Oryctolagus cuniculus: one gene and its partners. The protein of the gene in region 2 interacts with the protein of the main gene of each other region in a pairwise test. Links are inferred from orthologs where the notes say so. Each region holds a gene or a part of one and is shown on either strand. Other genes may lie near its edges. The genes, in order: CNOT4, UBE2E1, RNF25, ZNRF1, RNF111 and ZNRF2.

Region 1 (3,944 bases), on a different chromosome or scaffold from region 2:
TTTTTTTTTTTTGTCCCAGTAAGATTAGGTTCATAGACCTAAAAGTGCAACGTGTTTCCCTACTCCCCTTCTTTGTTTTAAACATTTTCCTTATCAGTTACGCCCCACCACCCATTTTAAGAATGTCTTTTTTGAATGGATTGCTGCCTGTCCCTGACCGCACCCTTACCTTACACTAGAATAGCGACCCCGTTTTGACCACCGCTGTATCCCGAAAGTTTAACACGGTGCCAGACACACAGGAGGAGCTCCGTGAGTATCAGAGGCACGAACGGGCAAATACACTTCACACGCTAAAAGGACTGCTCGGAGCGCCACTTCCAGCAGAGTGCGAGGGGGCCAAGCCGAGGGACCACTTTGGGATCGCGCACTCCTGGGTGCTGGAGGGGGCTGGGGTCGCGTTCCTTCACCTCCCCCCCCCCCCCCCCGGGCCTGCAGCCGGTGCGCCGGGAGCACTCGGCGGTTCAGACAGGACCCCGGCCTAACGCTACCGTGCACCGAAGTCCGCACGGTGTTCTTCAGTCCAGAAACACACGGTATTCGGAGTCCATGCATCTCGCCCGTGCAACCCGCACAGGACATCCCTGCTCCGGAGCTTTCGCGCGGCGGCTGGGCTCCAGGGCGGTGCCCCCGGGACTGCGCGGAGACGGGGACACGAGTTCAGGCTCCGGGTGCGCACCCACACGAGTTCAGGCTCCGGGTGCGCACCCACACCCACGCCGGTCTCCAGTTCTCGCCCCAGGTCGAATCCCGCGCTCTGCCTGCACCTCCTCCCCGCCCCCTGGAGAGCCCTCAGTTGGGCGCGGCGGCCAAGACAGGTCCCCGGCGCCCCTCACATTGGCTAGGCTCGCCCCGAGTTTCGGTTTACCGCATTTCAGCACACGGAATCGCTAACGACAACCGCCGAACAAATGACATTGGGGCAGCACACGCCGCCTGAGGAGGAAGCAAAACACGAAGAAAGGCGTCAGTCTCACAGCCACGTGAGGTGGGCGAGCCCGTCCGCCCTCAAGGCTGAGGACTTCAACTCCCAGCTTGCCCCTGGGCGGGTACCCTCCGAGGACTACAACTCCCAGGGAGCCGCGGGAGAGGCCGCCGCAACCTCCCACTCGCCCGCCGGCCGCTCCTCCCGCCCCTCCCCCGCCCCTCCCGGCTGGATCGGCGTGCGCCTGCGCACCGGAGGCCAGAGGAGTCTTACCCAAATGTAAGATGGTGGCCCGTCTGGCTGTGGAACCCACCGAAAGCTGAGAGTCTCCCTCTCAGCCGTAAAGGTCGGACTCGCTGAAGCAATCAGGCCCGGTTCTGAAGAGTTTTCTCCCCGACACTCGTTCAGTGGTCTCTTGTGAGGACGCGGCAGCGCGCGGAGTCGTCTAAGGGAAAAGCGAGGCAAGGCAGGCGGGTGAGTCTATGCGGGGCTGGGCTTAGGGGAAACCCGGGGCTGACCGGCTACGAGAGAGCGGAGGCTTCGCTGGGACTGTGCAGGCCGCACCCCCCTTCCTCCCCACCCCCCGCCTCATCTCAGCCTCCTCCTCCTCGGCCTTCCTCCTCCTCCTCCTCTCTCTCCCTCAGCCCTCTACGCCACAGCAGTTAGCACCAGGAAAAGGGAGCGGGGCAGGAGGCAGCGCGGCGGCCAGCGCCGACTCCCCTTCGATCGTTTCTGTAATTGGGGAGGGCGAGGCGGCTGCCGCTCCCCGGCGTCTCCCCCCGCTGCGATTTTCTAGGGGCAGATCCTCGGGTCTCGGTCCTCCCTGTCTCCCCGGCCCCTTTCCCCTCCCTGTCGTCCTTTCGCGCCGGCCCCGGTCCCCCCAGCCCAGAGCCATCACTCCCACTCTGACCCGTGTCGTCGCCGCTGGCCTCTGGCTCCGCTGCTGCCACTCTGGAGTTCGCCCTCGCCCCCTGCGGCGCCTCCAGCCGGTCCCCCCGGGTCTGTCTGCCTCCGTGGGGCGGCTTCCGATGTGCAGCCCGGCTTCCGTGAACCGCATCTGTCATCCCGCAGCCGCCCCTAAGAGTCTCGCTCGTGCCGCCGCTGCTCCTTGCGACCCACCTGTTCCTCAGCCTGCTGGGGGACTGCCCGTCCCTCGCCTCTTCCGACACAGACTTCGGGCGAGAGGGCTGCCCCGGCTCGGTCCTGGAGGAGTGAAGGAAGTTGGGAAGTGACTGGAGCGAGGTAGCACACTGTGGAGCGATGGGAGTGGGGGCTGCCGGGGAAGGAGCGGCTACGTTTGGCTTTCGGCGATCTGTGTGTCGAGGACTCGCTGTGTTGTCTTTTCTTTCCCTCTCTGCACTGCTTTTTCCATGCTGAATTGCCTCTCCCCAGGACACTTAATGTGGGCTCTGATTATACCAATAAGTAGTAGCCTGAACATTGCAAAGTAAGATAAATCTGGTGTACCCCAAGGCTCGTCTGCGAACTGCACACCCAAATATAGATGCTATTCTGATGAGATGTGAGTTACGGACCCCTTCTGTGTTCAGAATTGATTATTGACCAAGTGAGTGATATTGATGTTCAGCTTCATTGAGGACATATTTTATTTATGGTTTCAGTGGAAAATTCCTCTCCAGCTAATATCAGGTTTATACAGTATTTTTGGATTTGGAAAGTTCTGTTAGACACTTCTAGGGTGATAGTTATCCCAAAACGTTATCTTCTCTTGAAAATCTATTATGTATCCCAGAAGAAAATCTAGTCTTTGTAAGCCTAAATCACTCATATCTATCTATCTATCTATCTATCTATCTATCTATCTTTTTTCTTTAAAAAAGAAGGGGGCTGGGAAAAGTAATGACAAAGCTGTACGCCTGTGTGTATTTGGTGACAGTCCCTGTGGTTGTTGTCTGCAATAGGGAGCAGAAAACTACAAGTGAGAGGTGGCTTGCGCTGTCCATGTTTTGAAGAAAGCAAAATTGAAATATTCTGACTAATGGCACAATGGGAAGAAAGAGCCTTTCTGCAGACCCACTGTGGAAAAGAACTACCAGAAAAGCAAACAGGATTACGTAGATAAGATACATACATGTCAAGTTTAAATAAGACATTATGTTCTTAAGATATGTGTAAGAATGTTTATAGTAACAATCTCTTGCAGGAATCCATCTCTTACTTGCAAAAGTAAGAATACTTTAAATGTAAATAGAATACAGTTTCCCTTTAGTTACTTTTGCACATTACTGGCTTATTGTAATTTTTTGCAAATTTTACCTGTAAGGCTTGAATCTTAAACCTGGCATTATATTTGCTTGATTGTGATAAATGGTCTGTTTTACCCAAAGTAAGCTAAGATTAGAAAAGCTGTTTATAAAACTTCTTCTTTCCTGTCAACTATTTAAGTCCTGATTTGGGGAAACTAAATAAATCCCTACTCTTGAGAATTGGAAATAATTTATATAACAAACCTTGTCCTAGGTTGTAATTTAAGGTTTAAAAAAATATTGCTTAAATGCAGTTTATCAGTACAAGTGTATTCACTACAGTTGCTCTTCATCTCCTCAGTAATAGCTCATGCTGGTGGAGAAGCTGTCTACTTTGAACAATCCATACACAGGTTTAGAAACCCTTGGCAGTCATACTTGGCTGGGTTGTAGCAGTGTGTTCTAGGAGAGGACTGTTTGTCTGGCAGAAGGAGGAAATGATTTTAATACATCTTTTTCTTTGGTAAAGCTTTTTTACTTCACTAATTATTTTCTCAGTTTTCTCCTCTCTTACTTTTTGCTGGTAGTCATCAGATTCTTAGTTTCAGTCCTCTAAATTAAAAAAAAATGAACTTACTTTGGATCTTCAGTCTGCCTGAAGAAGATACTTAAAGGTTTTTGACATTTGGATGGAAAGTAGGGAGCTGAGATTTTTAATATTTTTGTATAGTTTTTTAGTTGTGATGGTATGATCATTACAATTTCATACTTGCATGGTTTCTTCTGGTAATTTGAAATACTCTATGCCACAA
Region 2 (3,458 bases):
CTATCGCTCAGCTGTTGAGGCACACTCCTGCTTAGCTGGGGTGATTACTGATCGTTTACAGTTTGCTTTTTTTCCACAGAATGCAGCTTAGATCTGTGTTAGTGGATTCTTTTAAAATGCTGTAGTCAGTGTGTGTGGCCCTGGCTGGGTTTCTCTGGAGGAGACCCAAAAGCAGAACTGCTGGGTTATGGGAGGTGTAGCCTCAAGTGGGGTCAAACTGCCCTCCAGTGTGGTGCCCATTTAGCTATCCTTGTGACACAACCCGTTTCTCGTGGACTTGCTCCCACAGCACCTGCAGGTTAGAAAATGCTTGTAAAGAGATGCAGGACACTTCGTCTCTGAAAACCTGTTATTTAACCTTCTCTAAGACGTCTCAAAGTCTACTGTTGTATAAAAGTATCTATTCTAACATAGGTAAGTGCTATTTATTAAGTATTTTTAATTGTTGTAGAGCAAAGATCTGTCAATAAAGACAAAATAAACCCAGCAGCACCAGGTGGTTGTTTTTAATATTGTTTATTAGCACAGTAACAAACGAGGACTTAAGTAGTCCACAACATATAACCAATCCACCGAGCAACTCCTATCCACGCCTCACAGGTAACAGCTTAAGGTATTTCACTACAGGTTTCACAAGTCCTGATTCAAACTTTTAATCTTTTCACAATAAAGTAGATTGGCATATAAAATAAAATACATCAACTACTCATTTCCTATATGGTGTCTTATAGCCACATGTCCATTTTATATATATGAGATGAGTCTCTCTAAAAACTCTGTTAAATATCAATATTCTCTTGCAAGAAGAGAAAAACAAATTCCAATTTTTTTAAACAAAAGTATGTAGTCATAAAGGGACTTTACATCAATGGCCATGTATGTAACCTGTACAAAATTAAGCTGTTTTACAGACTACAAGCAACCAAACCCAAATGTCAAGATGTACATTCTTTTCTACATTTTAGCTAATACTGCAGAACTAATGACAATTTTAAAAGTCGCTATTACCAATTCTGTCTACTGTAGCAAGATACCTTAAGTTACAACAAAATCTTAGGAAATAAGACTGAATAATATCTGTTATAGAAATACCCTACTCTTTACCAACTCCCACCCTCCCCCATCCCTTCAAAATCATAAGCAGCTCTCTTCTGTGACAGACAAGTAATGTAAGCACTGTGAAAACCCCGTTTATGTGGCGTATCTCTTGGTCCACTGTCGGGCCATCCGGTCGTGCTCTGCTCTGTTGGTCATGTACTGGGTGGCGATGCTGCCCACCAGAGGGTCGGCTGCAAGAAGAAGAATGTAGGTTACTCCGGAGAAAGGAAAATGCAGTTTCAACTCTACAGTCAGACACCACTCTACTGTTCTGGGTATTTTTCCTTCCAGACTTTACAAAACACTGCATGGAGGAGGGACAGAGTACTGGTCTGGCTTTACTGCTTGGTTAACACCATTTCTCAACCAACACCACCCAGTAAGTCGCTTTTGCTCTTAACATGTTGGGCGGGCTCAGGGCTACAGGCTACAAAGGACGTCAGCCGTGTGGTGGCGATGTGCACTGTGTGAGCTCTTCGTGGCCGTGTGTGGTGGCGATAGGCACTGTATGAACTCTTTGTGGCTGTGTGGTGGCGATAGGCACTGTATGAGCTCTTCGTGGCCGTGTGTGGTGGCGATAGGCACTGTATGAGTTCTTCGTGGCCGTGGCACTTCCAGTTGCCAGCCAACACCTGGGCTGCAGTTGAGAACAGTGTGTTTCTGGCAACTTAACACAGCATCTTTACATTTACATTAGCTTATCCAGGGAAAACTTTTAATGGAATGCAGTCCCAACAAAATCACACTTCAGTAGTCACTAAGTATTTAGCAAAGAAATCCCATTTCAAAATTGAGCCCTGCCTCCGTAAGCAGCTCTGGCACAGTGAGCCAGGTGAGGTTAGGACAGACTAGACTCTTCAGTTTAAAATACTTTGTCCTAGAACATACTAGACAATGGTGAAGTTGCTCCCTTTGCCAACTCATCTCCATTAGAACTTTCTCTGAAAAGCAATTTCATTTTTGTCTTTTTCAGGTGAGGAAAAATAAAACAAGGTAGAGAATTGTTAACCTTACCAGGATTACAGTCTGTAAGAAGTGAGCAGATGGAAAGGAGGACTTTAGAAATAGTTAGTGCTGGACTCCAATTATCTTTCAATATGTCCAAGCAAATAACTCCTTGACTGTTAATATTACAGTGATAGATTCTTGTCCGAAATGTAACCTAAAAGAAAAGTCAAACAATAGCAACTGTTTAGGAATAACACTGTGGGACTGCTGTTTGGGGTGCCTGGTCCTGCGAATGCACCCAAGCCACCCATGCGGGAGGCCAGGTGGGGTCTCAGCCTGGCAGAGTGCACTCTGGCAGGTTCGCACGTTTGGGAAGCAAACCAACAGATGGAAAATCTCTCTCTAATAAACGGAAAGTTAATATAGTTTTAAATGTTCATTGGTCCTGTGTCAGGAATTGTCAATTTTAAAAGTAATGTCTTCAAAAAGCTAAAAGTTCGGTACCCTCCTGAGTTCATCTTCAGCAAGGTTACTGTTTAAATATTAGCATTTTGAAGCATGAATAGCTAATTGTTTGCTGACCTCTTGTGTTAGCTGGTAGTACTACACAATCTTCAATACCTCATAAAACCTGAGGTACAACATAGTCTGCATGTGATAGAATGCTTAGTAGGCAGTGGCTACACAACCAAAAAGCTCTTCAGGATTTGCGTTACACCAGTTCCCCCAGCCACCCTGTCTACCAGAACCCCAGGATTTATAGAGGGGTCTCCATGAGTGGGAAGCCCAGTGTGGGCAAGGACCAGTCAGCATGAGCCACAGAAGCAGGAGTTATTTTAATTGGTGCACATCATGTATTTCCACAAATAAAAATCAGGAGACCAAAGTAAAAATGACCAGAGGCTGGCTTTTTAGCCCAGCAGTTGAGATGCTCGTCTCCATGACAGCAGTGCCTGGGTCACTTCCGGGCTCCGGCTCCCTGCAAATGCGGACCCTGGGTGGCAGTGGCGATGGCTCAGGTCATTGGCGCTCTGCCACACACATGGGAGACCTGGGTCCACCACCCAGACCTCAGCTTTGGCCCAGCCTGGGTGGTTGCAGGCATTTGGGGAGTGAACCAGTGGATGGAAGAGCTCTGTCTCTCTCTCAAATATATAAAACAAATATTAAAAATAGAAACAGTAGCCAGAAGTGACACTGGTGTATGGGATGTGGGCACCCCGGGTGGTAGCTTGATGCACTGGGCCACAAAGCCTGCATATAAAACAAATATTAAAAATAGAAACAGTAGCCAGAAGTGACACTGGTGTATGGGATGTGGGCACTCCGGGTGGTAGCTTGATGCACTGGGCCACAAAGCCTGCCCCCCCCCCCCACTGAGTTTTTGTGCTTAACAGTTACCCTGAGAAAAC
Region 3 (4,092 bases), on a different chromosome or scaffold from region 2:
GCCACTGAACAGAGCTACAATCTCAGCCTAACTTCAGAACTCCAGAACTCAGACTGCAGATCGTCTGAGTAACTCCATGACACCTGTTAGTCTCCTACCTCCACCTCCCCCACGGATGGCACCCTGGCCTTACCCAGGAGTCCCCCATCCTGGCCCAGGAGGATATATCCTCTGCTCAACAGATGCTTTGGTGGATTCTGGGAGAGGTGTTCCGAGTGCACCGAGTAAACAAATAAATACTATTTTTCGTCTTAATCATACTATGCAGGAAGGGAGAAACCACCTGCACTCTCTTCTTTCCTCTTCATTTTTCTTTCCTCCTTTCCCCCTCTATCTCATCTAAGTCTAGAAAGTAGTGGAGCTGGGATCTGAACCCCAGCAATCCACCTGCAGGGCTCATGCTCCCTAAGATGTAGGAAGGAGAGAGTCCCTTAAGAATACAGGTCGGTATAAATGCATGCCGCTGGCTCTGTTTTCCACTAGAGTTTGGGGTGCCGAATCCCACCCAAAAGACAGCCCTCTTCGTCCACCACCTGAGCACTGTATTTTTTTCGACCCTTGTACACTCTCCCAAAAGAGCCTTCTCCAATCATCTCCAACACGTGGTACTTTTCCATGACAGTGGCTGCAGAGTTTCTCAGAAGGAAGAAGTTAGAGGCGGTGGTTTCGAGCTACGGATCCAGGGACAGTTCGACACATCGGGGAGGCCTGGTTCGGGCAGGGGAGAAGAGGCAACATTAGCCGCCTTGCCTTTTCGCTTTCTCATAATAAAACAGGTCTTAGAAGCACAGGAAGGCAGAGCGGACCAAAAGACCACGAGCTCCTGGCACAACCGGAGCGTCTCCCTGGAGTTCCTTTTCTTCAGCGCCCTGCCGCCCACCCAACATCCCCTCTGCTTCTCACGCCCCCCAGCCTAGCCCACGCGACCCCGCCCCCCTCAAACCAGCCTCGCCCATCGACCCCGCCTTCCAGACTACCCCTGGTTCCCGCCACTCCCAACTTCCTCTGCACCCGCGCCCAGACCCTCGTCCACGCGCTTCGCTGGCGGGGGCCCGCCTCTCACCCCCAGCCGAGGAGCTCGAAGCTCCTCTGGCCGAGGGACGCCGGCGCTGGCCTTCAGCCCCGTCCCGTCTGGCTGCCTGCGTGCTGCGCCTGGCGGAGTTTGCCTCCACTCGCTCCCTAGTCCTGGTCTCTTTAGGCTTCCGTTCTCACCAATTTTACGCGCTAGAACCGGTCACAAGTTCCGAGGACAACGGCGCTCAGAGGTGGTGGGAGGGATGGTGGGCCGTCCATAGGCACCTCCTGGGACACTTCCGAACTGTCTCTCGGCCATCAGGTCCCACTAAGGACCCGGAGTCCGCGGTTGCCTAGAAACGGCCCCGGCTGGCGTCCCCCCGCCCCCGTGGTTTTCCGCCTCCGACTTCCCCAAGGGCACTTCCGGTTCCGGCCGCGGGCCGGAGGCGACATGGCGGCGTCAGCGTCGGCAGCTGCAGGGGAGGAGGACTGGTAACTTCGGGGGCATGGGCTTCGGTTGTCGGCCTGGCTCTGGCCGGGGGCACTCGGGGCGGCCGCAGACCCTCCGTGCGGCGGGCGTGTGGGGGTGGAGCAAGCGAGGAGGGTCGGCGGAGACGCTGACATCTCCTCCTAGGGTTGCTTCTGGACTTGGGCGCGGGAGGTGGAAGGGGCGCCGGTCTGCGAGGAGACAGCGCCGGCCCGGCCAGTTCGGGACGCACGTTCTCCGGTTGGATCCCCTCTGCTATGGCCTCACCCCATCCCGTCCTGTCCTCTGGAAGTGAATGTGCTCAGGGGCCCCGGCGATGCCTGCTCATCAGACCTCCCCACCTCGCCCACCCGGTGCCCTCCACCTTCTGGCCCCCTTGCCCCTTGGATCAGCCTCACTACCGCCCGCGCCTTCCTCAGCCTCCTCTCTCCCCAGCCGATCTAACGAGGGCTGTCCTGTGCGTGAAGCTTCACAACACAGAGAAAGCCCTCCTAGTTCTCTCGAGCATTCTTAACGAGAAGCCGGAACCTCCAAGGACTCTGGGACTTGGAAACAGGATAACGATGTGGGTTCACTCCACATATTAGCTGTGTGGTGCTAACCAGGCCATTTAGCCTCTGTGAGTCAGTGTCCTCAGCTGTTAAAAAAACAAAAAAAGTGGGTGTGGCAGCTGCATCATAGAATGGTTGAGATGATCAGGATGCATTTGTAATATACATAGCCATCTTTGCTTTAATAACTTTTTTAAAAAAGATTGATTTATTTGGAAGGCAGAGTTAGAGAGGCAGATTTTCCATCCACGGGTTTACTCCCCAAATGGCCACAACTGCCAGGGCTGGGCCGATATGAAGCCAGGAGCCCATAGCCTCTTCCGGATCTCCCACGTGGGTGCAGGGGCCCAAGGACTTGGACCATCTTCTGCTGCTCTCCCAGGCGCATTAGCAGGGAACTGGATCAGAAGTGGAGCCGCCGGGACTTGCAGTGGCTTTACCTACTATGCCACAGCGCTGACCCCATATCTCTTGAGATCTGGGCACCTGCAGAAACTAGATGAGCCCAGAAGTGAAGTGATTTGCCAGAAGATACAAAGCTGTGACTGGGAATCCGGGTCTGACTCCAGATCTTCTCATCTTCCCATTTTTTTTCTGTCATCACCTTACCACCATCCCAGCCAGTACCTCCATCCAGGACCCAAGTCGTAGCTTGGTAGGCAGAGTATTGAAGGGCCAGTCTTGACTGAGGCTGCACCTCACTGTACCCTGGTTCAGGGAGCCCAGCCAGTGCTGACCACCTAGATGAGTGGTTTTCAAACTGTTCGGGGGAGCTTGTAGAGACACCTTGAGCCATGGAGAGAGCCGCAGTGACTGTAGCCGATAGCCTGTTGTGGTCTGAGTCCTCCCCAGTCCTGTGTGAGCAACCACTCATTTGTTATCTGTGAGGTGTACAGCTTTGTGTTGTGAAGTTTCTGCCTAAAGCTTTTTATTAAAAAAAAAAAGAACCACTGATAACAACTCCTGCTAGAGGTGCTCCTGGTGGAGAGGGAGCAGCACAGGGAACTGAAGCACGCCTGCTTCTGTGTACGGTCAGCCTCCATGTCCGCAGGTTCCCCATCCACGGATTGAAGCAGCTGCACGCCGGAAGTATTGGGTGGGCTGGAGCGGGACCCTGTACTGACATGTATAAACTTTCTTGTCATTGTTCCCTAAGCAGTACAGTACAACAGTTCGCATATTACTTACATTGTCTTACAGTCTTATAAGTAGGCTAGAGATGATTTAAAGTATGTGGGAGGAGGTTCATAGGATGTATGCAAATACTGTGTCAATTTATACAAGGACTGGAGCATCTGCATTTGGTATCTGTAGAGGGTCATGGAACCAGTCTCCCACAGATACCAAGAGATGCTTATCACCCAGGTACTACTGTGGATAGCAACTAAACATTCGTCGCCAGTGTCATGACAACAGCTGCTTCTGTGTTTAAAACTGTGTGTCCTGTAATTTACACCAGGACCATGGGTCCTCACCTGGACAGGCTGATCTAGATCAACCAGCCAGCCAGGATCATAATTAGATCCGGAGTACTCTGCTAACCACATCCTTCCCTCTTTGCTGTTAAAGGGAAGATTAATGCAAGCAGGGAAAAAGAGAACATAGACTAGCTTCTGTGGCCCAGATCCTCTTAGGTATTTTACATAAACACATCACCTTTAATCCTCAGAGTCACCCGAGAAAGTAGGTGACTTTAGCGGCACGTGGTAGATTGGGAACTCAGGCTTACTGAGGTTAAGTGACTACTCAGACCACGTAGCTGGTAAGCAGTTGGTACCTGTTAGCTAAGGCTGATGGCTCTGCTGCGACACAGCTGTACACTACCTGGATTTCTGTTAGGAGTGGTATCTCCTGGAGAAGGCTTGGCAAGAATGGTGTTGGCAGTGTATAGACAGTAGCCAGGCACTTGGATCCATGCTCAACAGTGCCAAAGGAAAAGACAGGAGCAGCAGTGGAAAGCTGATGCCCATGGATGGATGCCCTGTTTCTGGACCAGAGAGATGGTCAACAAGGGATAACCAACCATAGAGTGAAACAGAA
Region 4 (4,298 bases), on a different chromosome or scaffold from region 2:
GTGTGAAATCCTGGAATCCAAACTGTAAGCTCCTAACGTTGGCATGGAAGCTGGTAGTGGAATAAGGATAAAGAAGTTTCCAGTAAGAGACAAACTTCAGAAATGTTACAGAAAGAGAACTCCCTTTCTGCATTCCCCACCCAGCCTCTGTAAGACGCGTTTTGTCATACACAAAATTCTAACTCTACAGGGCTTCCCAATTTAAAACAAGATCCTAATGACAGTTCTTTTTCACATGAAACCACAACCATCTCGCAAATACAGCTGACTCTTTCTGTACTAAATTTCGTGAGAAAGATTTTTAATTTCAAAACGCCTAATGCTGATCAACTGAAGGTGCTGAAGGCAGTCATGCCTGCGCCTCGCTCAGGGCGGCCTGGGATGCAGGTCCGAGAAGCTCTCCTGACATCCAGAGGCCTGGGCAGGGCTAAGACACCAGCCTTGCAATTCAAAAGCCACGTCCAAATGTCACTATTTCTCTGCCCAAATAATTAAAGTTTATAGAAAAGACAAAAAAAAAAAAAAAAAAAAAGGCAAGACTATTTACAGGAAGAAAAAAGAAAGATCTAAAAAGGTCTACCTTATTTCAAAACAGCTGTAACCAGTGACCTGACAGATCCTTCCATAAAGTAACCTAAGAACAGGAGCAATCTTTCTCCCACACAATAGTTAATTTTCCCAACTCACCCAAAGGAGTCTGAATATGCAACTTCTTCATTCAATTTGCCAATCAGCAAATGGCAGCCCCACACCCCTTGTGACCGGTGTTCTAGAAGCCTGTCCTGGCTTCCCAGGGTAGCCAAGCAGACAGTCCTGTCTTCCTCCAGAGGCCCCGCCAGGCCTTCCCCGCTCTGCCCAGCAGAGCCTGGGAAATCCCCCTCCAGCTCTTTGCTGGCCTGCTACCAGGAGTTCACAAAATGAACCCAGCCCCATTCTTTGAATCCTCCTCTTCCCAGTCATGTGCCAACAGCCGGGCAATAACACCCCACCTTGCCAGGCTCTCGGTTGCAAAAAGACGCAGATTCACGGGAAGAGCAAGGAGTGGAAGGAAGAAGATGGAGGGATGGGAGAGTGGCTGACCAAGCCTGCTTCGTGCAGCACGGGTGACCGGAGCTCTGGTCCCACACAGAACCCTGAGGGAGGCTCCCTGCCTGGGCCCTGCCTACAGCAGGCCACACCTGTCTGTGCCAGCCGCCTGCCAGCTGCTCCATTTTTAGCAATTCAAACAGATTTCCAGCCGGGTGGCAAAACGGGGCACCCCACCCTCTCTCAGCCAGGGCGAGGGCCCTAATCCAAGCACCACTTGCCCCCAGTTTCATTTCTTCTCACACTCTTTGTCTCTTTTCACACTCTTCCACCGCTTGGTGGGAGCGGATCCAGCTGTCTGCTAACGGTGAGGCGGGCACCGTGCTGCAAAGGCAGGAACGAAGCACCCAAGCAGACTTGCTGAAAAGCCAGACAAGCCCTCTTCTCCGAGCAAGGAGATGCCGATAAAGGGGACTTCCACAGGCAGGTTTCACTCTGCCCATCCACAAGCGAACACATGCCTGGAGTCCTGCAGCCTCGCAGACAGCCACTCATCTACAGGGTGGGGACCCATTCATCCCTTGGCACCAAGAACCCAAAGAAAGGCTGACACATGCAGGTCGCATACTCCGTATCCAAACCTCGGAGCGCGCGAAGGTTTGGGGCGCCCTCTTTGCACTCCACCCTCTGAGGCCTCCACCACCCGTGGACTCACCACTGTGCGAGCTGAACCACCTGGGTGCGATGTGCAGAGGTAGAGCATCCGCCAGCGAGGCTCGGGAGCCCAGGTACAGCATCCCGTCTCTATGGTGACCGCCGCCAGTCTCCTGGTAACCATTGCCATGGGCAAAGGTGGAGTCGGACGCCGACCCTCCGCCGCCGCCGGGCGCCCTCTCGGAGTCGCCGGTGCCCCGGGAGGCGGGGGTGTAGAGGCCAAAGGGCACCCCGCCGGCCGTGCTGGGGTCCATGCCCATGCCCGCCACCGAGCTGACCGAACGGCTGCGCAGCCCCATGGCTCCGCCGCCCGTCCTGTAGTGCCCGAAGTGGGGCGCCCCTCCCGGCGGCGGCACGGCGCTGTCATCGGTGGAGACCCCCGGGAAAGGGCCTCGAGAGCGGGCTGCCGTGCTCTGCTTTCCCCCCATGCTCGCCCGGGCCCCGATGGGGCGGGAACCTGGGAGCCGAGACCCTCCCCCACTTCTCAGCAGCGGGGGGAGGGCTGGGCGAGCATAAAGGGGGAAGGAGTCAAAAAGGAGACCAGGAGGGGGAAAAGGGAAAAAAAGGAAAAGAAAAAAGAAAAAAAAAATTCCCGCGGGGAGGAGAAGCAGGCGGGCAGGGACCTCAAACTAAGAATTTAAAACGATCCAAGCCAAACGCATGTTTCCCTTCAAGGTCCAAAGAGGCGCAGTCCGGCGCGGGCTCCGCGCGCCACAGGCCGCCCCCGGGCTCGGAAAGCCGGGCGAGCCGCAGGGAAGGAGGGAGGGAGGCGGCGGGCGGGCGCAGGGAGGCGCCGGAGGAGGCCGTCCGCCCCACAGGAGGCGGCGGCGGAGGGCTGGGGGCGCCGGGCGCGTCCCCCGCCTCAGGACGCGGCGACCATGGACGGCGGCCCGGACCCCTCAGGCCGCGGGAGGGCTCGGCGCTGGGCGGCCAGGCGGAGCTCTGGAAGCCGCGGTCGCGTCGCGTCGCGCTCTGGCTCCAGCCGCCGCCGGCCCCGCCAGCCGCGCCGGCCCCTTGGTCCCGGGCAGCGCTCGCCGGCGCTCCTCGCCGCCGTGGAGACAATGGAGGGCGGCAGAGCGCAGGCGCGGCCCGCGCCCCCTCCCCCTCCCCCCCGCCGGGTTAACCCCTTCGCCGCCCCTGCGGCGCCCCGGCCGCGGCAGCCCCTGCGCTGCCCGGCCGCCCGCCCTCCTCCAGCGAGCCAGGGACGTGGATGGCCTGAGCCAGGGGACATCGGCCATGCAAGCAAGACGTCTTTCCCAAGCAAGCATTCGCAAAGAGGATAATTATTAAAGGGGGAAACCACTTATGGGGGAGGGGCGACCACGGTTCCAAGGGGTGGGAAGGGAACCCCGGGAAGAATGAAAATTATTCACTACGCCCACCTGGCTCTGAGGGTCACCGGTCGAGCTCCCCTCCCGGTCCAAATTTGCCCCCACAGCACCCTCTGGTGGACGTGGTGTCCAGTGTCTTGGAGGTTCCCCATCCAAGGACCCCAACATCGAGAAGCTTAGCATTTCGGGGTGTTCGCTGTTTCCAGATAAACAGCGCCCCGGGGCACTTGTGAATCCCAGGTTTTGCTGACATTAAATCAGAACTTCCTATCTGGGGCATTAAGCAGATGGGTCGATTCCTTTGCTAAAAAATGCAATGCTCAAAATCAATAAATTTATTATTAAAAATGGAAAGGTATAGACACGGAAAAAGAATATTTGGAAACTCCTTTGTCCAACACGGGAGCACTGTTTTGTTTGCCAAGCATTCTGGCATCCACCACAGGGTCAAGGACGCGGTAAGTACTCAGGTATTTGTTGACCCACCTGAATTTTGCAACCAAGAATGCCCTGTCCTTTTGTCACATAGTCACATCCATTCATTCATTGAGCAACGAGTTTTCAGGCACTAACTGCTGGCTCCGAGCACCATGATTTCCCACTTCTAAACCAAGAGCCAAAACAGGTTGTAAAAGAAAACCAAAAAGAACAGCTGGCTTTTGCCAGCATTTGGAGAGTGAACCAATGGGGTGAAAGCCCCCCTCTCTTTGTTCACTCTGCCTTTCAAGTAAATTTAAAAAAAAAATCCAGGTGAATGATCTAAAGAAAAATGGAAAAGCTTAAATTTAATCTAATTTCCTCCTAGGAGAAAAATTTTGAGGAATGAAGAGGGATGTTCAGATGCAGACACCAGATAGATCCCTCACAGACAGGCCCCGTCAGCGGCCTAAATACACACCACCAGATCCCTCACAGACAGGCCCCGTCGGCGGTCTAGATACACACCACCACCAGATCCCTCACAGAAACGCCCCGTCAGCAGTCTAGATACACACCACCAGATCCCTCACAGACAGGCCCCGTGGGCGGTCTAGATACACAATAACCATTGCAACCCACCCCTTTGCTTTCCATTTTATTCATTCCACACCTTTTTAGTGTATTTAACCAAATATTTAGTATCTTGTAAGTGCTAGGCACTATACTAGATTCTAGGATACCGTGGAGAACAAGACAGATAAACCACCTTTTCTCACAAATTTCAGAACCATTTCACATGCAAGCGGA
Region 5 (4,175 bases), on a different chromosome or scaffold from region 2:
TGGAGGATGGCAGTGGAAGATGGCCCAAGTGCTTGGGAGACCAGGAGAAGCACCTGGCTCCTGGCTTCAGATCAGCACAGCGCTGGCCGTAGTGGCCATTTGGGGAGTGAACCAATGGAAGGAAGACCTTTCTCTGTCTCTCTCTCCCTGTCTATAATTCTGTCAAATAAATAAAAAATAAAAATAAAAGACAGGGCAAATTTTCTGTGAACTTTCTGAAGTTCCTGGTATACAAACATGAGTGCATATAAAAAGATAAGCATGACTGGAGCAGCTCAGAGCTTTGTTTTGTCCACAACATGGTCCAGGACGTTGGTGAAGAATGGGAGATAGCTCTATTAGCTTTAGGAAAAATTAAATATCCAAATAATAAACTGAATCTTGAGAAAAATTATCATGTTCCTTCACCTAAATGTATTTGAAACATTATATTGTACTAAAGAAATATTCATTAACTAGTAAGTTACTTTAGGTAATTTTGAAATAAGAATCATAGGTTAAATGACAAAATTAAATATCCTGCATGTGAAAAGTGATGTCTTCTCTCCATTTTATTTTTCCCTATTATAAAAAATAGATGAATTGTTATGTTCAACCAAGTTATGGTAAATAACTTCAACCTTATTTTTTAAAAAGCCCTATGTTTCCTAATTAACATTTTGCAACATTTGTTTCCAATAATAATTAATATTTTGCTTCACTTACTTTGGTAACCTATTGCCATGTTTGCTTTCTTGCTTTTCACTTAACCACTTGCAAGTAAAAATTCCAAATAGAATGGCACTACTATTCTAAGAGCAATCACACGTAAAGCTTTGCTGTTATGTCCCCTCAGCAATCTCTTTTTTAAAAGATTTATTTATTTATTTGAAAGGCAGAGTTAAAGAGAGGCAGAGGCACAGAGACAGAGAGAGAGAGGTCTTCCATCTGCTGGCTCACTCCCCAGATGGCTGCAACAGCTGGAGCTGTGTTGAGCAGAAGGTAGGAGCCAGGAGCTGCCCATATGGGATGTCGGCACTGCAAGCAGTGGCTTTATCCTCTATGCCACAGGGCTGGCCCCTACAGTAATCTTTGTTCTAAAACTCTATTACTTTTCTTTTCCTTCTATTTTCAATCACACTGTTAGTTTTGGTTAGCATAATCCATTCTTAAAAGTGTTCACAGGGGGCCAGTATTGTGGCATAGTTGGTAAATTAGCCACCTTTGACACTAGCATCCCATATGGGTGCTGGTTGAAGTCCTGGCTACTCCACTTCCAATCCAGCTCCCTGCTAATATACCTGGGAAAGCAGTGGAAGATGGCCCAAGTGCTTGGGGCCCTGCACCCATATGGGAGACAGGGAAGAATCTCCTGGCTCCTGGCTCCATATTGGCGCAGCTCTGGCTGTTGCAGCCGTCTGGAGAGTGAACCAGCATATGGAAGATCTTTCTCTCTCTCTCTCTCTGTAACTCGGCCTTTCAAATAAATATATTTTTAAAAAAGAAAAATGTGTCTACGGAAGATGGGAGAATAGTGGCTGAGTGGGAAGACTCTGGGAAGAAATCTGAGATTTAGAGTAAATGTAGCCAATAATTAGCTGTGGGTCCCTAGTCAAATCCCTTAAGATCTTCTCCTATAAAAAAGGAGAGGATTGCGTTAGAAGATTTCTACGGAGCTTTTGAATTCTAAAACACTGTGACTGTGAAACCAACGTTGTAGCAGACAGAGCTGGATTTGGAATCAGGAGGACTGGATTTGAGCATAGCTCTGCCACACACCAGCTGTGTGAACACGGACAAGTCATTTAATCTCTCTAAGCCTTACAGAGATTTTCCTGCCAGACTTGGGAAGGATTAAGGGGGTTATTGTATGTCAAAATGCCTCCTTCGCCCTAAAAGAACTACGCAAATGTCAAGTATTATTTTAGAACGCCCAGGCTTCCTCCTTTGGAACTCGTTAGTCAATCAGAAAAAAACCCAACCTTAAATAAGTCAGGCCTCATCAATTCAAGTTGCAAAACCAGGACATGCAAGTATAGTTAATTGTGCATCCTACTCAGTTTACCGAATTTATGGTTTGGTTCTATAAATGCGTCTGCTTTGATGATTAATAACGCTGGCTAATGTTACCGATAGGTACTCACTTGTACAGGCTGGTCCTCCTTAAGAAGATGGTCAGTGATCTCGGAATCCAAGTTTGGGGGGGAGGGGGGGGGTGGGCGAAACCGTGCACACAGCCTCTGGCAGAATTTAAAAACGGAAGTCCTCAGTCAGTGAATAACTTCGTGTCGAACCTTCAGGTCCCCTGCGAAGGATGGCAGACCGGGGCCAACACGGAGAGTGGGTTTTCCTGTTTTTCAAGCGAGCCAGGGCAACCCTAGAGCCAAGTCCGCTTAGGTGGGCTGCAGGCGGAACTGCCCGGGACAGACAGCGGGACATGTCACCCAGGCCGGCCCTTCCTGTTCTTTGGGCTCCGTGGAGGCCTTTTGCGTGGAGCCCGGGGACCCTAGCTCGTGCGTGCACACTGGCCACCTTTGTTTTCGATTACTCAGCAGGGCTGACCAAGCGTTTCCCTGGGAATGGTTCAGGGCGCGCACACGCCCCTTTGGGGCACGCGTGAACTTTGAACGCGGGGTAGTGCCCAACACCTCGTTCTGGCTCAAGACTCGAGACGTTGCAGGAAAACGCCTCGCCCGGCGGCGGGGAAAGGCGGTGCGACGGACGTTGGTGCGGTTAGACAAGCCTGACCTCCCGGCCCACGCAAGAGGGTCGCAGCGCCCAGGTGGCCGCGGCCGTACGCGCCGGCCGCCCCTCCCCGCGCAGTGCGCAGGCGCGCCCGTCATCCGGGTGCTGGCTGCGGCTGCAGGTTGCGCCGGGGTGGCGGACCGGGGGCGGGGCTAGCGGCTCATTGTGCGCAGCGCTGTGCGGCGCCGCCGGCCGCCGAGGCCCGGGTGGAAGTTGGCGCTGCTGCCGCCGCCCTGCAGCCCACTCGCTACGCTCTCCTAAGATGGCTGCCGCTGCCGGTGCTGTGGCAGCCTCGGCCGCCTCAGGTCAGGCGGAAGGTAAAAAGATCACCGATCTGCGGGTCATCGATCTTAAGTCCGAGCTGAAGCGGCGGAACTTAGACATCACTGGAGTCAAGACGGTGCTCATTTCCCGACTCAAGCAGGTGAGACCCGGCGTGGTCCGCGAGGGCGAGCTTAGGCCGCGTCTCGGCGCCCCGTCTCCGCCGCAGCTGCCCGGGCGCCCGCAGCCGCCGGGAGCCGCGGGGCGGAGCGGCGAGGGGGTCCCGGGCGGCGGCCGCGCGCGCGCGTGTGTGCGCGCGCGCGTGTGTGCAGGGCGAGGACCCTGCCGCGGCGCCCCCGCCCCCGCGCGCTGGGCCGGGCCGGGCCGGGCCTGGCCTGGCTCGCCGGGGGCCCGCGAGCCGCCTGGGACCGACCGCAGCAGCCGAGCGCGTCCCCCCTCCCCCGGGACGTCCCCGCCAGGCTGCGAAGGCTACGGCTGGCCGGCGCGGCCTCCCAAGGGCGATCGTGAAGACCTGGGGGTCGCTGGGTCCCCAGCCTTGAGCCATGGTGAGCGCGTGCACTTCTTGGCCTCGGAGGGAATGGTTACTTTGGTGACTTCTGCGAAGTTACCGTTTAATTGTGCCCAACCGTTTTCTCCCCTTCTGGGGGAGGGGGACTGGTAGTGGGAGTTGATGGGTGGGTGAGAGAAAGGTTTTGTTTTCTACTGGGTTTTTAGTTTTTGCATCAGCGTAGTGATCTGCTTTCTGGTTTATTTGAGTGAGCGTTGGAATAGTAGTAGAAGAGCAGTCAGTTTGCGTTATGGAAATTAGGAACACTCCTTAGTTATTTACTTCAGTAGCTAGCACCTTTTCCGCAGTAGAGCGTATTTAGATTTTTGTTCGGCATGACATTTAATTGTCGACTCGGTAGAATTTAAAGCTCCGTGTGATTTTGATACCTAACGATTTGTAACCAACCCCCCCCCCCCCCCGAAAGTTTCTCTCTCGTGTAGTTTAATTGCCCTTTTTTCGTTTGTTTGTTTTTTGAAGTCGGTTTATGAAATGACTGGCAATTCTAATGTCTTGAGGCTTGAGGTTTGCTAATTTTTTTTTTCATTTCGTTTTTATAAAATAAGTTTAGATAGACTGTGTAGCATATTAACTTCTCTTTCTAATGTAGGCTATTGAAGAG
Region 6 (3,939 bases), on a different chromosome or scaffold from region 2:
AGTACACAGTAGGTGAAACCATTCGCTCCAAAGAGCTATTAACTCCCCGCTTTCTCGAATCCCCCAATGTCGGAGAGCCCCTGACTCCGGGCCCTTAGTGCCGCTCCCCACACCAAGTTCCCAGACAGAACCACATTTGGCACCGGGTCTCCTCCTGCCTCCCTGGGGGCTGCAAGCCACAACCACGAGAGATGCTGGTCGGTCTTAAAGAAGCACCTGCTCCACTCCCCCCGCCCTCACGGCTCTCCAGGGGGCAGCCACCGGGTGAGCGTGCAGGTGCACGACCGGCGGCCGCGGCACCGCAGGGGTTAAGTGCGCTCCCTTCCCTGTGAGCGGCCCGGGCGCCGGAGACCCAGCACCCAAAGACGGTAAGCGAAAAGGAGAAGGGCAAAAATACCCGGTGGCCGCGGCCCACGTGCGGGGCCGGGCGCGCGGGGAAGGGGGCCGTACCTCCGAACATGTGCGGCGAGAGGTGGGCTGGTAAGGAGCCGATCACCAGGCGCGGCCCGCCGGGGCCCCCGCCCGCCGGCCGGTCCCTGCCGCTGCCGCCGCCGCCACCGCCGCCGCCGTCCTCCGGGCTGCTGTGCACCGAGTCCTGCGAGCCGTACGGGCCGCTGCTGCTGTTGGGGATGTTGAAGGAGGACTGCGCCGCGCGGGCCCCCGACGCCACGCTGCCCACGGCCCCGCCGAGGGAGCGGCTCCGCGGGGCCGCCGGGGCCGCCGAGGCCGCCGCGGCGCCGCCCGAGGCGCTAGGCTGGTGCGCGCCGGGCACCTGAGCCGGAAACCTGCCCGCGGCCGCGGCCCGAGCTCCGCCGCCGCCGCCGCCGCCGCCCGCCGTTCCGTTGACCCCGCCGCTGCTGCTGCTGGAAGGTAGATCCGAGCCCGAGTAGGCGCGGGTGCGGCCGTTAGCGGCGGCCGGGCCGCTCTGCTTGGCGCCCATGTCCGCCTCGCCCCGGGCCGGGCCCGCGCGCGGCGCCCCGAGCTCCGGGAAGGCGGGAGCGAGCGGGCAGGGCCGAGGCTCCGCGGCCGGCCCACAGGGGCCCCCGCACGTCCAGGGCCGCCGCCCGGCGCCCCGAGGGGCGGTCGGTGCCCGGCGCGCGCTCTTCTCGCGGCCGAGGCCGGTGACTTGACGCGGGCGCGGGAGGCGAAGCGAGGCGAGGAGGGAGGGCCCGGCGGCGGGCGCCGCTCGCCGGCCGAGGCGGGGGTGGGTTCGCTCAGGTGGCCGCGCGGCTGCCGCTGCTTTCGGTTCTGGTGCGCCACGACGGGCCGCTGCCGCGCTCTGCCGCCGCCGCCGCCGCCGCCGCGCTCTGCGCCCTGGGCCTCGGCACCGCCTCCTCCCGGGCGGCCGCTGCTACCGCCGCCATCCTCCGGCTCCCACGGCGGCTCGCGGCTGAGTGGGAGGCGCCCGCCCAGCCTCCGCCGGGGCCACCTTCCCTCCTCCCCCCGCCACCCAGCTGTTATTAACGGAGAAAGAGGGAAAACGGGTGGCGCGTGAAGGGAGGAGGCGACGGAGGGGCGGCGCGCGCTTCCCGGCAACCGCCTCCCGGCCTCCCCCTCCCCTCTCCAGGCCGAAGGAGGGCCGGTAGGGCGGGGGCGCCCAGGAGGGAGGAGGCTCCCCCGGCTTCACACCGGAAGGCCGAGAAACCGCGCGGCTGCAGGGTGCGCCCGGGCCCGTGTGTTTGGGCTGCGTGCGAAGACCCCGCCCCCGTCCCCCCTCGCTCCGTCCCGTGGATTGGCTCCCGCCGATCTGGCTCCGCCTCGCGCGGCCCCGGCCCCGCCTCAACAAGGTAAGGCGGTGTGGTAGGTGCTGCCACCACCCGCGGACTCGATGATGGACAAGTCGCCGGCCCCGCCCCGCCGGCCAGGGCGCGCCCCCTCCGCCACCTCTGGCCCTACGCCGATTGGAGGATAGAGTCCTTCGGGGCGCCAATCAGAAGGCGGCCCCTCCTTCCACACGTGGCCCGCGGACCCGGGAGAAGAGCGTGTGCAGGCTGGAGCGTGAAGGCTGTGCCTGTGTCCCGAGCGTTTGACTTGGGTGTGTGTTACCTTACACGCTGATTTAAGAGATGAAAACCAGAGGCTCCGCAATGCTGCTAACACTGACAGAACAGCGGAATCAGGAGACAGGACCAAGGCGGCGGCTGCCCACCGGACCTGAAGGAGCCCCGGGCCTGGGGCAGAGCGGAGCTGGGAGAGCTAAGGTTGATCCCACCTGCCCCTTAGGGCTAAGTTATGGATAGGGAGCAATTTTTTTAACCTTTTTGGGTTTTAGCTTCCCTGCCTGGAATATTTGTGTTAAAACCCTAGGGCGTCTGCTGCCATAAAATCCTGTCGTTTCTCTAAAATGGGATTTAATAAAATTCCCAGTGTGTTCTTAACTATGGAGTGGCATTTTGACTGCCGAGCGTGGTCGGGACATTCGACCCACCTATGCTGAAAAGCCTTGACGTATCCTCTATGTGAAAATAATATGGGTTTGGCGCCTACAGTGCCAGCGTCCCGTATGTGCACCAGTTTGAGTCCTGACTGCTCCACTTCCAATACAGCTCTCTGCTATGCCCTGGGAAAGCAGAGGAAGATGGCCTAAGTCTTTGGGCCCCTGCGCCCATGTGGGAGACCTGGAAGAAGCTCCTGGCTCCCACCATTAAGGCCATTTGGGGAGTGCACCAGGGATTGGAAGCCTCTCTCTCTCTCTCCCTCTCTCCCTCTCTCTCTCTCCCCCTCCCTCCGTCCCTCCCTCCCTCCTTTTCTCTCTGTGTAACTCTGATTTTCAAGTAAATAAATAAATATTTAAAAAAAGAAAATAATATTTTTGTACAAATGACAGAAATACTTGGTCTTCCCTCCTCGCTCCCCATGTTTGCAATGAGCCATTTATGTAATGATTTTCTCATTCTTTCAAAGGGCATGGTAATCACGTTTTTGAACAAGAATATATGTACATGAAGAATATATGAATGGTTATGGATGTACACATGCACACTAAGTGTGAGAGCAAAGCGACTCAATGCTTTTACATGGAATATCACGTTAACATGTGGTCGTCATTCGTTTGAGCATCTTCTCCCTACAGATGCCCCTGCAGCCCCCCTACCCCGGCCCACCATCACAGACTGCCTTCTGTGTGTCCGTTCAGTGCTGTAGAGCAGCACGGATTGCAGTATTAGACCTCTTGTCACTAAACAGTGGGACCCAGGGTGGAGCTCACATCTGTACCCCTTCTGTCTCACACAACGCCTGAGACCTGTGATGGCACAGTAAATGAGAATGAATCATCGAGTGCATGCAGGTACTTCCTCCCTAGTCCTCCCTTGAGGTCACTTTCGGACTCCTGGACGGCTCCCTCGTGGTGGGCGCTCTGTCTCCACCCTCTGCTCTCCTCAGCCCTCTGAATCCCTGAACCTAACGGCAATCCCATGAAACTGTCAAGATGTTTCATCATCCAACAAATGGTTCAGACTTCACTTAAAATGGATAGCTTCATTAACAAACCCTTCCGGTTCTGCAAAAACTGAAGTACTATGTCGTCCAAATCAGTCCACAGGGGTGTACACCCCTTGGCAGAACTGAAGCAAGCTTTATGAGATAATGCCCATGTCACATGGAGCCACTCCATTTTCTGTTCCATTCTATTTTACTTTTGTAAAATCCTGCTCACCACCCACAGGACTGATTTTATAACCCACTAATGGGTTTTAATCTGCAGTTGACAAATGATGGTCTAAATGAGTGCTTTGCAAACTTGAGTACACAGAGGAATCATCTGAAGATGACATTGAAGTGTTGTGTGCAGTGAGTTAAGCTATGGCCTACAGTGCTGGCACCCCATGTGGGCACTGATTCCCACCACTTTTGATCCAGCCCCCTGCTGATGTGCTTGGGAAAGCAGTTGAAAATGACCCTAATACTTTTGGCCCCTGCACCCACGTGGGAAACCCA

Evidence for each region.
Region 1: the proteins of UBE2E1 (region 2) and CNOT4 interact in a two-hybrid assay, tested with the Homo sapiens proteins (2 studies listed by BioGRID). The link is inferred for Oryctolagus cuniculus from reciprocal best matches to the Homo sapiens genes UBE2E1 and CNOT4.
Region 3: the proteins of UBE2E1 (region 2) and RNF25 interact in binary tests that used the Homo sapiens proteins (3 or more experiments, as listed by UniProt). The link is inferred for Oryctolagus cuniculus from reciprocal best matches to the Homo sapiens genes UBE2E1 and RNF25.
Region 4: the proteins of UBE2E1 (region 2) and ZNRF1 interact in binary tests that used the Homo sapiens proteins (3 or more experiments, as listed by UniProt). The link is inferred for Oryctolagus cuniculus from reciprocal best matches to the Homo sapiens genes UBE2E1 and ZNRF1.
Region 5: the proteins of UBE2E1 (region 2) and RNF111 interact in a two-hybrid assay, tested with the Homo sapiens proteins (2 studies listed by BioGRID and IntAct). The link is inferred for Oryctolagus cuniculus from reciprocal best matches to the Homo sapiens genes UBE2E1 and RNF111.
Region 6: the proteins of UBE2E1 (region 2) and ZNRF2 interact in a two-hybrid assay, tested with the Homo sapiens proteins (2 studies listed by BioGRID). The link is inferred for Oryctolagus cuniculus from reciprocal best matches to the Homo sapiens genes UBE2E1 and ZNRF2.

Annotation. Positions count from the first base shown.
Region 1 is NC_091434.1:171,313,175-171,317,118, reverse strand, and holds the start of CNOT4 (CCR4-NOT transcription complex subunit 4), read left to right. Parts: upstream 1-1,144; 5' UTR 1,145-1,399; intron 1,400-3,944. UniProt on the Homo sapiens protein: Has E3 ubiquitin ligase activity, promoting ubiquitination and degradation of target proteins. Involved in activation of the JAK/STAT pathway. Catalyzes ubiquitination of methylated RBM15.
Region 2 is NC_091435.1:159,786,927-159,790,384, reverse strand, and holds the end of UBE2E1 (ubiquitin-conjugating enzyme E2 E1), read right to left. Parts: intron 2,261-3,458; coding exon 2,113-2,260; intron 1,290-2,112; coding exon 1,192-1,289; 3' UTR 501-1,191; downstream 1-500. UniProt on the Homo sapiens protein: Accepts ubiquitin from the E1 complex and catalyzes its covalent attachment to other proteins. Catalyzes the covalent attachment of ISG15 to other proteins. Mediates the selective degradation of short-lived and abnormal proteins.
Region 3 is NC_091434.1:20,765,457-20,769,548, forward strand, and holds the start of RNF25 (E3 ubiquitin-protein ligase RNF25), read left to right. Parts: upstream 1-1,292; 5' UTR 1,293-1,465; coding exon 1,466-1,506; intron 1,507-4,092. Other genes in the region: STK36 (serine/threonine-protein kinase 36), read right to left, coding at 534-617. UniProt on the Homo sapiens protein: E3 ubiquitin-protein ligase that plays a key role in the RNF14-RNF25 translation quality control pathway, a pathway that takes place when a ribosome has stalled during translation, and which promotes ubiquitination and degradation of translation factors on stalled ribosomes.
Region 4 is NC_091449.1:57,474,958-57,479,255, reverse strand, and holds the start of ZNRF1 (E3 ubiquitin-protein ligase ZNRF1), read right to left. Parts: upstream 2,801-4,298; 5' UTR 2,169-2,800; coding exon 1,742-2,168; intron 1-1,741. UniProt on the Homo sapiens protein: E3 ubiquitin-protein ligase that plays a role in different processes including cell differentiation, receptor recycling or regulation of inflammation. Mediates the ubiquitination of AKT1 and GLUL, thereby playing a role in neuron cells differentiation.
Region 5 is NC_091443.1:81,824,062-81,828,236, reverse strand, and holds the start of RNF111 (E3 ubiquitin-protein ligase Arkadia), read right to left. Parts: upstream 2,801-4,175; 5' UTR 2,124-2,800; intron 1-2,123. Other genes in the region: SLTM (SAFB-like transcription modulator), read left to right, coding at 2,987-3,148, 4,164-4,175. UniProt on the Homo sapiens protein: E3 ubiquitin-protein ligase. Required for mesoderm patterning during embryonic development. Acts as an enhancer of the transcriptional responses of the SMAD2/SMAD3 effectors, which are activated downstream of BMP.
Region 6 is NC_091447.1:21,603,827-21,607,765, reverse strand, and holds the start of ZNRF2 (E3 ubiquitin-protein ligase ZNRF2), read right to left. Parts: upstream 2,801-3,939; 5' UTR 941-2,800; coding exon 451-940; intron 369-450; exon of another isoform or gene 171-368; intron 1-170. UniProt on the Homo sapiens protein: E3 ubiquitin-protein ligase that plays a role in the establishment and maintenance of neuronal transmission and plasticity. Ubiquitinates the Na(+)/K(+) ATPase alpha-1 subunit/ATP1A1 and thereby influences its endocytosis and/or degradation.